2 linked regions of the Caenorhabditis elegans genome follow. The protein of the gene in region 2 purifies or fractionates together with the protein of the main gene of each other region. This does not show direct contact. Each region holds a gene or a part of one and is shown on either strand. Other genes may lie near its edges.

What was found. Proteins that work in one complex are often made in the same cells at the same time.
Region 1: the proteins of nas-9 (region 2) and gtnt-39 fractionate together in Caenorhabditis elegans (co-fractionation; one large-scale study listed by BioGRID). This does not show direct contact.

What each region holds. Positions count from the first base shown.
Region 1 is NC_003282.8:4,433,125-4,438,004, forward strand, and holds gtnt-39 (Glycosyltransferase family 92 protein), read left to right. Parts: upstream 1-1,909; 5' UTR 1,910-2,002; coding exon 2,003-2,139; intron 2,140-2,197; coding exon 2,198-2,309; intron 2,310-2,367; coding exon 2,368-2,459; intron 2,460-2,611; coding exon 2,612-2,802; intron 2,803-2,846; coding exon 2,847-2,944; intron 2,945-3,091; coding exon 3,092-3,244; intron 3,245-3,349; coding exon 3,350-3,453; intron 3,454-3,496; coding exon 3,497-3,763; intron 3,764-3,956; coding exon 3,957-4,194; 3' UTR 4,195-4,231; downstream 4,232-4,880. Other genes in the region: R08C7.8 (Serine/threonine-protein phosphatase), read right to left, coding at 1-65, 110-248, 302-487, 533-742, 799-1,134, 1,239-1,352.
Region 2 is NC_003283.11:4,835,398-4,841,878, reverse strand, and holds nas-9 (Zinc metalloproteinase nas-9), read left to right. Parts: upstream 1-1,876; 5' UTR 1,877-1,959; coding exon 1,960-2,026; exon of another isoform or gene 2,027-2,084; coding exon 2,085-2,278; intron 2,279-2,373; coding exon 2,374-2,555; intron 2,556-3,105; coding exon 3,106-3,292; intron 3,293-3,453; coding exon 3,454-3,579; intron 3,580-3,626; coding exon 3,627-3,852; intron 3,853-3,908; coding exon 3,909-4,038; intron 4,039-4,083; coding exon 4,084-4,153; intron 4,154-4,336; coding exon 4,337-4,423; intron 4,424-5,470; coding exon 5,471-5,842; 3' UTR 5,843-5,852; downstream 5,853-6,481. Other genes in the region: cwp-1 (uncharacterized protein), read left to right, coding at 614-679, 726-812, 1,039-1,212; C37H5.5 (Nucleolar complex protein 3 homolog), read right to left, coding at 5,945-6,116. UniProt on the Caenorhabditis elegans protein: Metalloprotease.

The sequences.
Region 1 (4,880 bases), on a different chromosome or scaffold from region 2:
AACGAGCTGCACAGACGGTGGTGTTGGCTGGGGAACATCAGCAGATTGCAAATGACGACCACGGTCTGAAAATGTACAGATTTTTCAGTGGTAAGGCACTTGAACTCACTTGGATCTGGACTCGCGACCATCAGCCCTTTGTAGTTGTTCTCCATGAGCTTTACAATTTCAAAATTCTCTGGTGTTGCAATCATTCGTGGACGGAGAACTGTGAAGGATAGCTCGTAAGAATCCGAGACGTGCATAATCTGAAAAAACCAAATTATTTTTTAAATTGATATCATGAACTCGTATAACTTACTGCTCCACAATTGGTATCATTCCCACAATAATATGGCGCAGAGAACACTGTGACACACTTTTTGTTGAACAAGAAGTTGAATCCTTCCTGAGACACTTCGTGAGCTCGGACAATCAACGAGAGGCCAAGCTTCTTCAAGAAATCATCCAATCCTTTTTGGCCGAAAACTACAGAAATTGCACGCTGCTGAAAAGTACAAATCGTCAATGTAAATAGTAGAAATTGTGATACTTTGTTCATTGCAAACGTGTTGCACTTATCCTGAGTTGGATCAGCCCACATCAAATCAACTTGAAGACCTTCGTCACAGGTTAATGGAGTATTCGGTTTCTTCAGAGCTTTGAATGATTCCCACGAGTTACAGTTTTGGGAGATTCCTCCGTGCATGCAAAGGATCCGTTGACCAACTCGAGCACAGAGTGGAAGCTCGTTGAAAACATTCTGAAAGGCATAGAGATATTATAAAAGTCGTCATTACGGGATAGTCTTCTGTTTCCCTGATATTGTCTCCACATCCTTCCTCCTCTCTTTCTTGTCAATTCCTCATAGAAACCATACAACCGGTTCATTTTCATACATTCATGATTGCCACGTAGCAAATGCACCAAATGAGGATATCGAATTTTGTAGCAGAAAAGAAGAAGCGACACTTCGAATGATTTGGCTCCACGATCCACATAGTCCCCGAGAAATAGAAATTGAACTTTTGGAGGATATCCAACGGCATCAAAATAACGAATGAGAGCATCCAGTTGTCCGTGAATATCTCCGACAATTGTGATTGGATGCTCAACTTGGAGCATTGCTGGAAGTGGTTTCAACGTCGACTCAGCCTGAAAATATATCATTGTAAGACTACAAAATCTGCTCAGACTTGTGCGTGGGACTTTCAGAATCTAGAAGAAATCGCAAAATACTCTAATTTTCAAGTTCATACCTTTTCCAAAATAGTGTAAATCTGTTTGTCAGTGAATGCATCAGTGACGCCCCATTTCAGAAGATGCTCAATCATTCGTTTGGCGAGTTGTACCACTGATTCTCCTTCGTACATGTATCCTTTTTGACTTTCCATCATCTTGCTTCGAACGTCGACTTTTGAAAATTTAAAACTTGGGAATACATTTTTTTTTTTGCTCGGAAAGATTCTTTCCTTTTTTTGTCGTGGTTACGTGAAATTAAATTTAAATTTTTTTATATTAATTTACTTTTTTTTAACCTCTTTTAATTAACTTTTTAATTTTTTTCAAACAAAACCCTAATTGTTAGAAAATATGAATATTTGAAATCACTAGCTCAGAAACTGACGGAGGATTGAAGCTGAGAAGCTTAGGATAGTTTGGAGGTATGAAGTAGGCACGCAGGTAGGCATGATATGAGTCTTTCCTACAACATTTCTTCTTTTCATGCCTCCTGCGCTCCTACTTTCTGCCTACCGGAAAGCTTTCGGAAAGCAATCGGTCATCTGACATATTGATGAAAAATAGGCTCTGAAAATGATCACATTTTGATCACATTTTGTAGTTTCTCAAAAAAAAAATTTGCCAAAAATACACATTTTTGGATAAGACAACAGTCCAAGTCCACATTTCATTGTCATTTTTTTCCTCAAAATCCCAGCGAAAATCCATTTTTTCCGTCATTATCTAATGCTAAAATCTAAAATCTTGTCTCCCGAAATGCCCTGAACATTTCAACAAAATAATGGCAAAGGTGGTGCGGCGGAAATTTTTCATTGTTTCATTTTTATTATTTTCGATTTTGCTGTTATTTTTACAACACTCTCGGCAAGTTAAGGTAATTGAGAGGACTTTTATTTTGGAAAATGGCTCGCAGAATAGGTAGGGGTTTTTTAAAAGTTTCAAATATTAAATAAATTTCTCAAATTTGTTTTAATAGTTCTCAAATACGAGATGCTTGTTTCGTACCCTACTGGAATCAAAAAACCACTGAAAATATTTTGCACTCGGAGCAAATCGAGGAATGGGCAAAAACGGAATTTGGTGGGAATGTGAGCTTTTTTTCGTTACTTGGTCGAGTTTGGGGCGTAGAATTTTCGATTTTTCCAGCTCAACATGATCGATGGGGAACCTCGCCTGCTATCCGCTTTCGTGTACCCTGACGAGATCTCCATTATCACTACTGTAATGCACACTTTTCTGTGGGTAGCGTTAACATAGGTCTGCTTAAATTGACAACGCATTTTGCTCACTTTATTAAACTACAATGATTTACTTTGAATTACGGTATTTTAGAATTTAACAGAGTGAGCAAAAAATGGTGTCAATATTCCTCAGGATCCAAAGTTTTCAGAAAACGTGCCACATGTCATTACTACGACTGTAACCGTGTCGAAATTCACGCTGCAAGATTTAAATCTCGTGTATGGCCGCTAGCAGTCATCACTTGCCCGCGAAGGTTCGGCGCAGAGTACGTGAGTGTCAGCTATGAAGAAGATGAAGAGCCTCAGGAACCGATTCCGTTGACCTACAGGGCTTACGATAGTAAGCTTGAAACTGAGCCTGAAATATCTAAAATTGACTTTCAGGGCCGCTCCACGAGCTCTCCGTTTGTGTAGGGCCAATGTATGGAGAAGAAAGCAAATGGCTGGAAATTATAGAATACGTAGAACATTATAGATTGGTGGTAGGTCTTAGAAATACATAGTGTCTAGAGTTTTGAACTGATACATTTGTTTTATTAATACTTGGGCTAGACCTCCCACGGAGACGTGCCTACGTGCCTACGTGCCTACGTGCCTACGTGCCTACACAAATCAACATATCATTCCAGGGAACGTCCCATTTCTACTTCACCCTATTCAACATGAACGAGTATGACAGGAAAATAATTGACAACTACGAGAGCCTAGGCATCGCTGAATCCACAAAATACACCACTGAATATTTGAGACTCGGGTGGATGTTTCATCTCTTGCAAACTCATGTAAGGGCCTAACTGCCTACCTACTCGCCTGCCTACTGGCCTAAGGCTTGATAGGCCTGCCTTCTAGGCACGTAGGCACAATGTAGGTAAGAATTTTTGTTTCAGGAATGCCATTATCGGAGTAAATTTCATTCGAAATGGGTTGTCAATATGGATATTGATGAGCGGCTGGTATACACTGGACCACTTAACCTGAGAAGCTATTTGAGGTGAAAATGTTTCAGAATTTTCCAGCATTTCGTGAGTTTCCAGGAGACTCCCGCCGAACATTGGAGAAGTCAGCTTCACCACAAATCGAGTCTTGAAAACTGAGCCAGTTCCTGTAAAATATAGCAGTGATGCTCAATTAATGGAAGATATGCTATTCCTGAAATACAATAAAACCACTGAAATCAGTTGGTACAATTTGAAAGGGATCATTCGACCGGAAAAAGTCGCCATGCTTTTTTATCACTGGTCATATTTTCAGTTTGAAGGGGTCAATGTTGTTTCGGTGCCGAAAAGATTTGGGCATGTCAGGTGAATACTTTTTTTTGCAATGATCGAGAAATTTACCGATTTATTGATTTTCAATGTTTCAAAATATGTATCGATTTTCTGAGAAATTATAGATTTTTATTTGGAAAAGCTATTGAATTTTCAAAAAAAGTTATTTGATCTTCCGAAAAAATATAAATACCATATAAAACTTTCATTTTAAAAAAAGTTTCAGACACTACCGAAACATGGACAAAAAGGCTCTGAATGGGAATTGGATGGAAAACTACAACGGGACACTTCAAGAAACCCGCCTATCCAGGTCATTCGAGAAAAGATTAATTTCGGCAGTGAGACGACGGGTCAAATATGTATACGATCAGCGAATGGTGAGGTGCGAAGAAATTCCCGAGTGGTTGAGTTCAAGGTTCAGGAGGCAACTGCTGGATTGTAAATTTAAAAATGAAATTTAAGTAAGATGTTCCTGGTATAATAAATTTGTTTTTTGATCGACCTCTTACGGACATTTCAGCTTGGTCGAGGCGCTTGACGTCAAGTCTTAGAAGCTGAATTAGGACTTCTGTATAGGTTTCTGAACGCCTGCCTACTTGCCTTCAATGCCACCTGGGCCACGCGCGCATACGACCGCGTTTGAACTGTTCAACATAGAAGCCACGACACGTTCGACGATATGTTGCATCTATACACAATTAGTATATCTTAGAAAAATTGTGTACGAATTAATGAAGTATTACGTGTCCATGATTTGATGAGAACTGCTGCTCTCTCTTTTCCACACGCTCTCTCGCCATAGGCGTTTTGCATAGGCGTTAGATAGCGTGCGAGAAAAAGAGACGCAGGTGCTTTTTGCGCGTAAGATATGGCGAATTTTCTCACTCGAACATGGATACGTGATAAAACAAATTTATTCGGAAGTCATCAATAAATTATCAGGAACAATGAAACAGAAAAGAATTATTGTGATTAAAACGTGGAAAACACGCTTTTGGTTCAGAACATGTGGAACAATAGAAAAGAGAAACGGATAAAAGTTATTGAAGTTATATTACGGAACCATGAGATCATGAGAATGCCTATTTACTGGCACGAAAGTATTGGCAGGCCGCGGCAGCCAGAGAGTGTGTGGCGAAGAGAGACG
Region 2 (6,481 bases):
TGCAAAGTCTATTTGAAACGTAAGGGTATGAGCAGAAATTCAGGAAGCCATGGTGTCTTTTGAAACAAAACAATTACCCATGTGCCACTTTGGTATGCGGCCGCAACAAATAAAATAAAACCAAGTATACGGTTTTATTAAAAATTCACTTCTATATAATTTTGAGGAAGTTTCAGAGTTACCATTATTATAAAACACTAAAAGCTCGGCCACCAATTTTTTAAGCGGCCACGCAGAAAATACGACCTGGTCAATTACCAAACATAGGTGTCCCTGCAAAAATATACACTAGGGTAAAAGGTTTTATTGCAATTACTAGGCCATCATCGAAGACTGCCTAGTTTGGCTTGATGGATTGATGATGTGCCAAACTGATGAGCCAAACGGAGCGGGTAGCTAAGAAGAGTCATGGTTACGTACATGGATACGGAGACGTTTTATACGGTAATAATGGCTTTTCATCGGGCTCATCAAAATCTCATCATTTTCCGAATAAAACGTTGCCGTAACCAAATGAAACCATGGTGATGCGTGGTTACAAGCTCCGCCCAAGCATCGGAGCAATCCTGCCGGATTCATTTTAACTTCAATTTTGAACGAATAGCTTTCGAAAATGATCTCAAAGACTTCAATTCTTCTCCTTGGTTTTGCCTGCGCAACTGTTGGAGCCAGTTATATGGTAAGATATTTCCTAGCAAAAGTTTTAGCTAATACAAAGATTCCAGGACTCCGGCCCATTCAAATTCGATGACTCTTGCGAACCACTCGAACCACCACGCAAGCCAGAGGTCTCCGAATGCTATGAGGCACAGGTAACTTAGAGTAGCATTTAAACTATTTATTCTGCTGAAAAGGCTTCATGCCAAAGTTTAGACCTTGTTTCAAAAATTTGGCCAATCTTAGTTTTGGCACAATGCCATACTCCTAGGTCCTAGACAAACCTAGGTAAAACTTGCCTAAGTCTTGCCTAAGCTTTACCAAATTTAGGCCAAAAACCACAAAAAAAATTATATAGATTTTAATATATATTTATTTCAGCCGAAAGCATTTTTGCCAAAAGCTTTAGAGGAGTATCGTGCATTGGGATACGACTGGGGAGAGTTTGTGCATGACGACGAAGCGGATAAGGCTCCAGAAGGACTTGACGAGGTCTTCACTTACCCAATGGTTCCATTCATCGGCATGAGCCTTCTCGCCTCTAAGAAATTCTAATTGTGATTCTGTGAAAATATTTCAAATGTGGAATAAACCTGTTAACAAAAAAGTTTAATTTTGATCTTCTATATCCAGGTTTCAGGAAAAAATAATTAAACATGCAAGGACTACAAAAAAGACAGTGTATGAGCAGAATTTCAGGAATCTACGGTGTAAAAACTCGCTCGCTCTTATCAAATCAAAAAAAAAAATTGTTGAAAATGTTTTATGTAGATAACTTTCGGGCAAATTTCCAAACTGCCACGTAGCAAAATAGGCCTGCGCACTTACCCAAAAGTATAAATGTGTTTGAAATTGGGTGAGAAGGTTTTAGCTCAACTACACCATGATTAGTAGGTACATCTTCAGGCATACGTGCCTGCCCTGCCATATGTTAACTTACCGACTATTTTCTGCAATTTGGCGTAAACTCCGGTGTTAGGGTAAATACTGTATTTGATCATCTTAATTATGTACATTAGAAAGATCAACTTTAATATTAAAATTTTCACAAATGAAATCCACACTTTCTGCCTTCTACTACACACTATTTTAGTTCAATTTTCCATTAAAAACACAAAACAAACCGTTTAACCAATCACTTGTTCCATTGATCTTTGCCCACTCCATTTGCCAAAAACAAAGAAAATCTAAAAGAAACGAGTAACCGAAACAGAAAAGTGACGGCATGACTATCAATCAGTCTCCTTTTTTTTGAGAATCAGTTCATCAATTCGCGCAATTCATCATTCTGTTCAATTCTTCATGATATTTCTACTTTTTGTTGTTTTTCCATTTGTATATGCACAGCTTTTGCCAGAGTTATTAGCAGGTTTGTGTTCCAATTTCGCATTTTTGTCGGCTAACACTTTTTATTGCAATTTTTTCAGGTTTTCAGAATGGAAGGTTTAGAGGGGGACCCGATGGTTTTAATAGAGGACCTGGAGGGTTTCATCGTGGACCTGACGGCTTCGGGGGAGACCCTCGTGGCGGTGTAGACCTCGGCCACTTGATTGGGAATATTGCTGCAAATGTTGGTCAAGAAATGGGTCTAAACGATGCTGATGTTATTGGAGATTTAAGAGTAGGTTATTCACAGCAAAATTATCAGAACAGTTTACGAGAAATTCAACGTTTCTCACAGAAAAAAACTAAACAATTTTATTGAACCTTTTATAGGGAATCTCTCGAGGACCCCGACCATCATCCATGGAGTGGGGACGGCGAGCCCGGCATTTCTGCAGGAGATATCCGGGTCATCCAAAATGTCAGCGAGGACAACTTCCACAGTTTACTGATGTTCCGACTATTATCAACACTATTATCTACAACGCGGGAGATCTTCTTCCACGAGTTCCTACGTAAGTTTCAAATGTGAAGAGTTATTAGAAAACTGTCTGTTTGAAAATATTTTATTAACGTTAAAAAATCTCCTTTTTGAAATCGATGTGTAAGTCAGGGGTTTTTAGTCAACAAATTCGGAAAATGGACAAATCGCCGGTTTGCGGATTTGCCGGAAATTTTGAATTCCGGCAACTTGCCGATTTGCCGATTTACCGTTTGCCAGATATCAGATTTGCCGGAAATGTATAGACGGATTTTTTTATAAGACTGAAACACTTAAAACTGTGCCTTTTTGAAAAAAAAAAATTTTCCCGTTCACTTTAGATATTTTCATAGAATTTGCTTACTTTTGAAAATAGATGTAGGACCATTCATAGGATGCAAACAATTTGCAAACAACTGAAATTCTGAAATTTCAAAAAAGTTTGCAAATCCACAATTTGCCGATAATTTCCGGCAAATTCGGCAAATCGGCAAGATGCTGGTTTGCCGATTTGCCGGAGTTTAAAATTGTGCCTTATGCCTGCATGCCTACCTACTTTACTTTCTGACTGATCAATATTACAGCCTAAACATCCATGACCCGTTGGCTGGACTAAACAGCGAACTGGTTGGATTCATCAAGAGTCTTCAGTCACAATTTGGACAACTCAGTTCCCAACAGAGAAACGAGATTCACGATTCATGCAGATCATTCAAGTGCGATCAGCAGTCTCCTCAGAACACACAGGCAAAGCAGGAGCTATTGACAAAGGTAATTACCTAGTCTAGGGCTTCCACCCTACGTTTGCCTGCCTGGTCGTAAGCGTACTGAAGCGCTAAATTGCTAAAAAGAGGCGAGAGGCAGGCGTGAGGTAGGCAGGTTTTAAGCCGTCTGCCATGGAACCGCTAACCTGGCAAGCTTTAATCTTTCAGATGCTCGCCTTCGATCAAGCGGTTGGCGGTAAAGCTGCTCCGGCTCATGACAAGGTGAACCTCCGATTCGACAGAACTCAGCAAGTGAAACAGGCATTGCTCAAAAGAGCAAATTTGTCGCATATTGTAAGTATACCTTCTGGCAGTTTGAAGAAAATTCAAGTTTGCTTCAGATCGTTCCAGCTGACAATGGAGTCTTCGACAGAGATGTGTTGCTCACCGAGCATCAGGCTAACTTCCTGCTCAATGAGCTCGGCGAGGCCGGGCGTGGAGCAGATGTTGGAGCAGGAGGAGGTGGTGGTGGACGAGTTCCAAGATCCGGAGTTTTCTTCCAAGAAAGTGCGGTTCAGAAATGGGATATTTGGAAGCCTATTCAGTATACTTTGGATGATTCATTAGGTATAACTCTTTGTCAAATTTGAAGAAAAACCGTCAAAATCCTGACAAGTTTCCAGAAGAATCCGACAAAAAAGACATCCGGGATGCTCTACACGAAATTTCAATCAACACCTGCATCCTATTCAGGTACAATGCAACGCCAAAAGGATATCACTTGAATTATATGAAAGTTGATAGCACGACCTTGTAAGTTGACTAGAGAATCTAAGTGTGACGTCACTTCCTTTTCAGCTGCGGTCTATCCTACGTGGGACGGACCGATCCGGCCAACCCGATTTACTTGAGCTTCCAGTGTGGGGATGTACGGTTTCTTCTTCATTTTTTGGGGGAAAACACGTGGTGTCAAACTGTCCCATTTTGGTGTGATCTACAAAAAATGCGGAGAATCTTCTTTGAAATTCTTGCGTTTTTAGTAGATCACGCCGAAATGGGACACTTTGACACCACGTGGAAAGATAATGCAAATTCGATCGAAAACTTTCAGAATCGAGGAGTTGCAATGCACGAAACAATGCACGCGTTGGGCGTCAGTCACCAACACTTGAGACTCGACAGGGATAAGTATATCAAGGTTTTTAACTTTATTTGCAGTTTTTATGCCGTGGCCTAGAAAAAAATCCTCAACAGTTCCACGGCCACGTGATGTCAGAGTGTCTCATTTCGGCTTGATCTACGTAGATCTACAAAAAATGCGGGAGAAGAGACGCAGAGTTCTCAACTGATTTCGCATGGTTAAGAACGTGCTGACGTCGCATTCCGTTGGGCAGAAAATTCCCGCATTTGTGGTAGATCAAACTGTAATGGGACAGCCTGGCATCACGTGCGGCCTAGTTTTTTTTTCTCGGCCATTTAGAAAATGTGACCGTCTTTGAGTTTCAAGAATTTTTCGTGACAAGACCCACCGCACCTTTTATAATGTAATATCACGAAATTTTAAAAACATTTTCTCAAAGGCGCACGGGCTCAATCGGATGGGTCTCGCCACGAAAAAATTAATGGCTGAATCCTATACTGTTCATTTCATTTTGGAGACGCAGAAAAACGCGCATTTTGAAAATTGAGGAGCAAGCGCGCTCCACGGCCAAGTGAAAACTGTCCGCCCCCAGGAGTTGGGTCTCGTTAGGTAAAACCGTAACTTCAACTTTTTTCAATAATATTTCGAATTTTTTACTATTTTTTCCGTTGTTTTGTTGACTTTAATGTCGAAATAATGCAAAAAAAATTCATTTATCAAATTTCAAATAAAATTTTCATCAGTTAAATAATTAAAAACAACTGAAAACTTAACGAAAATATACGAAAAAAATATTGAAAAACCGATGAAATCTGGAAGAAAAGAAATTAAAATGGCAATTCCTAACGAGACCCAACTTTTGGGGGCGGGGAATTTTAGTTTGACCGTAGAGCGCGCCGGCACCTCGATTGTGCTTCTCTAAGTGCCCATAATAATAAAATGAATAAAAATGCCCGCCAAAAAACTCAAAAAAGTGCTACCATAACATTTTTCGTGGTGAGACCCATCCTAATGAACCCATGCGCCTTTAAGCAAGAATTCCAAAAATTGCCTCTTGTTCGCGACGAGACCCAGCCGATTTTTAAAAAATTTCAAAATTTCCAGATCGACTGGTCAAACATCGACCCCCAACACTATGACACATTTGCGATATCCGACGCGAAACTGTACACATCCTACGGTACCAAGTACGCCTACGACTCTATAATGCACTATAACGCATATCTCGGCGCCAAGGACCCCAACAAGCCGACGATGATCCCGTTGGTGAATCCACAGGAGAACACCCCGAAACTGGGTCAACGAGCCAAACTGACCCGCGGCGACATCCGGTTGCTCAAAAAAATGTACTGCCGTCCGGGATGTGACGATCAGAATGTGCACTGCGGCACGTGGGCTCTGCATGGCTATTGCAAGATGAAGGAACAAATGAAATGGATGAATGAGAATTGTAAAGCTAGTTGTGATAAATGTTGAGGATTCTCTACTTGACACACAAAACAAAATTCATAGTGAAAACTTAACAGTAACAACAAATAACAAAAATTCGGATTATCATTTAAACAATATTTTAAAAAATTATTTCGATGCTGCCAGCCAGTTGGAAATGTGGAAGTTGATGTTCTTTGGAGTAACCGATTGATTTCTCTTCTTGGCAGCCTTCTCCAGATCATCCAAATACTTGCTCTCAACCTTGTCATAGGCATCCTTCGCGTTATCCATCAGCTGTCCCATCAGGATCCATGGTTTCCTGGAAAATTAAATATTTAGAATGTCTGGTGAATTTGATAACTAGGAGAGGTTTTGTTAATATCGCTATTTATTAATACAGCTATCTGGTTTACGATTATGCGAAATTTTTAAATCGGCAAATTGCCGGAATTAAAAAATTTCTGGCAAATCGGCAATCCGGCAAATTGCTGAATTTGCCGGAAAAACGGCAATTGCTGAGAATTTTCGGCAAATTGCGGTTTTGCACATTTTTTTTTGGAAATTTCAGAATTTCAATTTTATTCATCAAAACTGTACGCATCCTATGAATCTTCCTACATCTATTATGAAAAGTAGGCAAAGTCGATGAAAATATCTAAATGAAGCGGGAAAAAATTTCAAAAA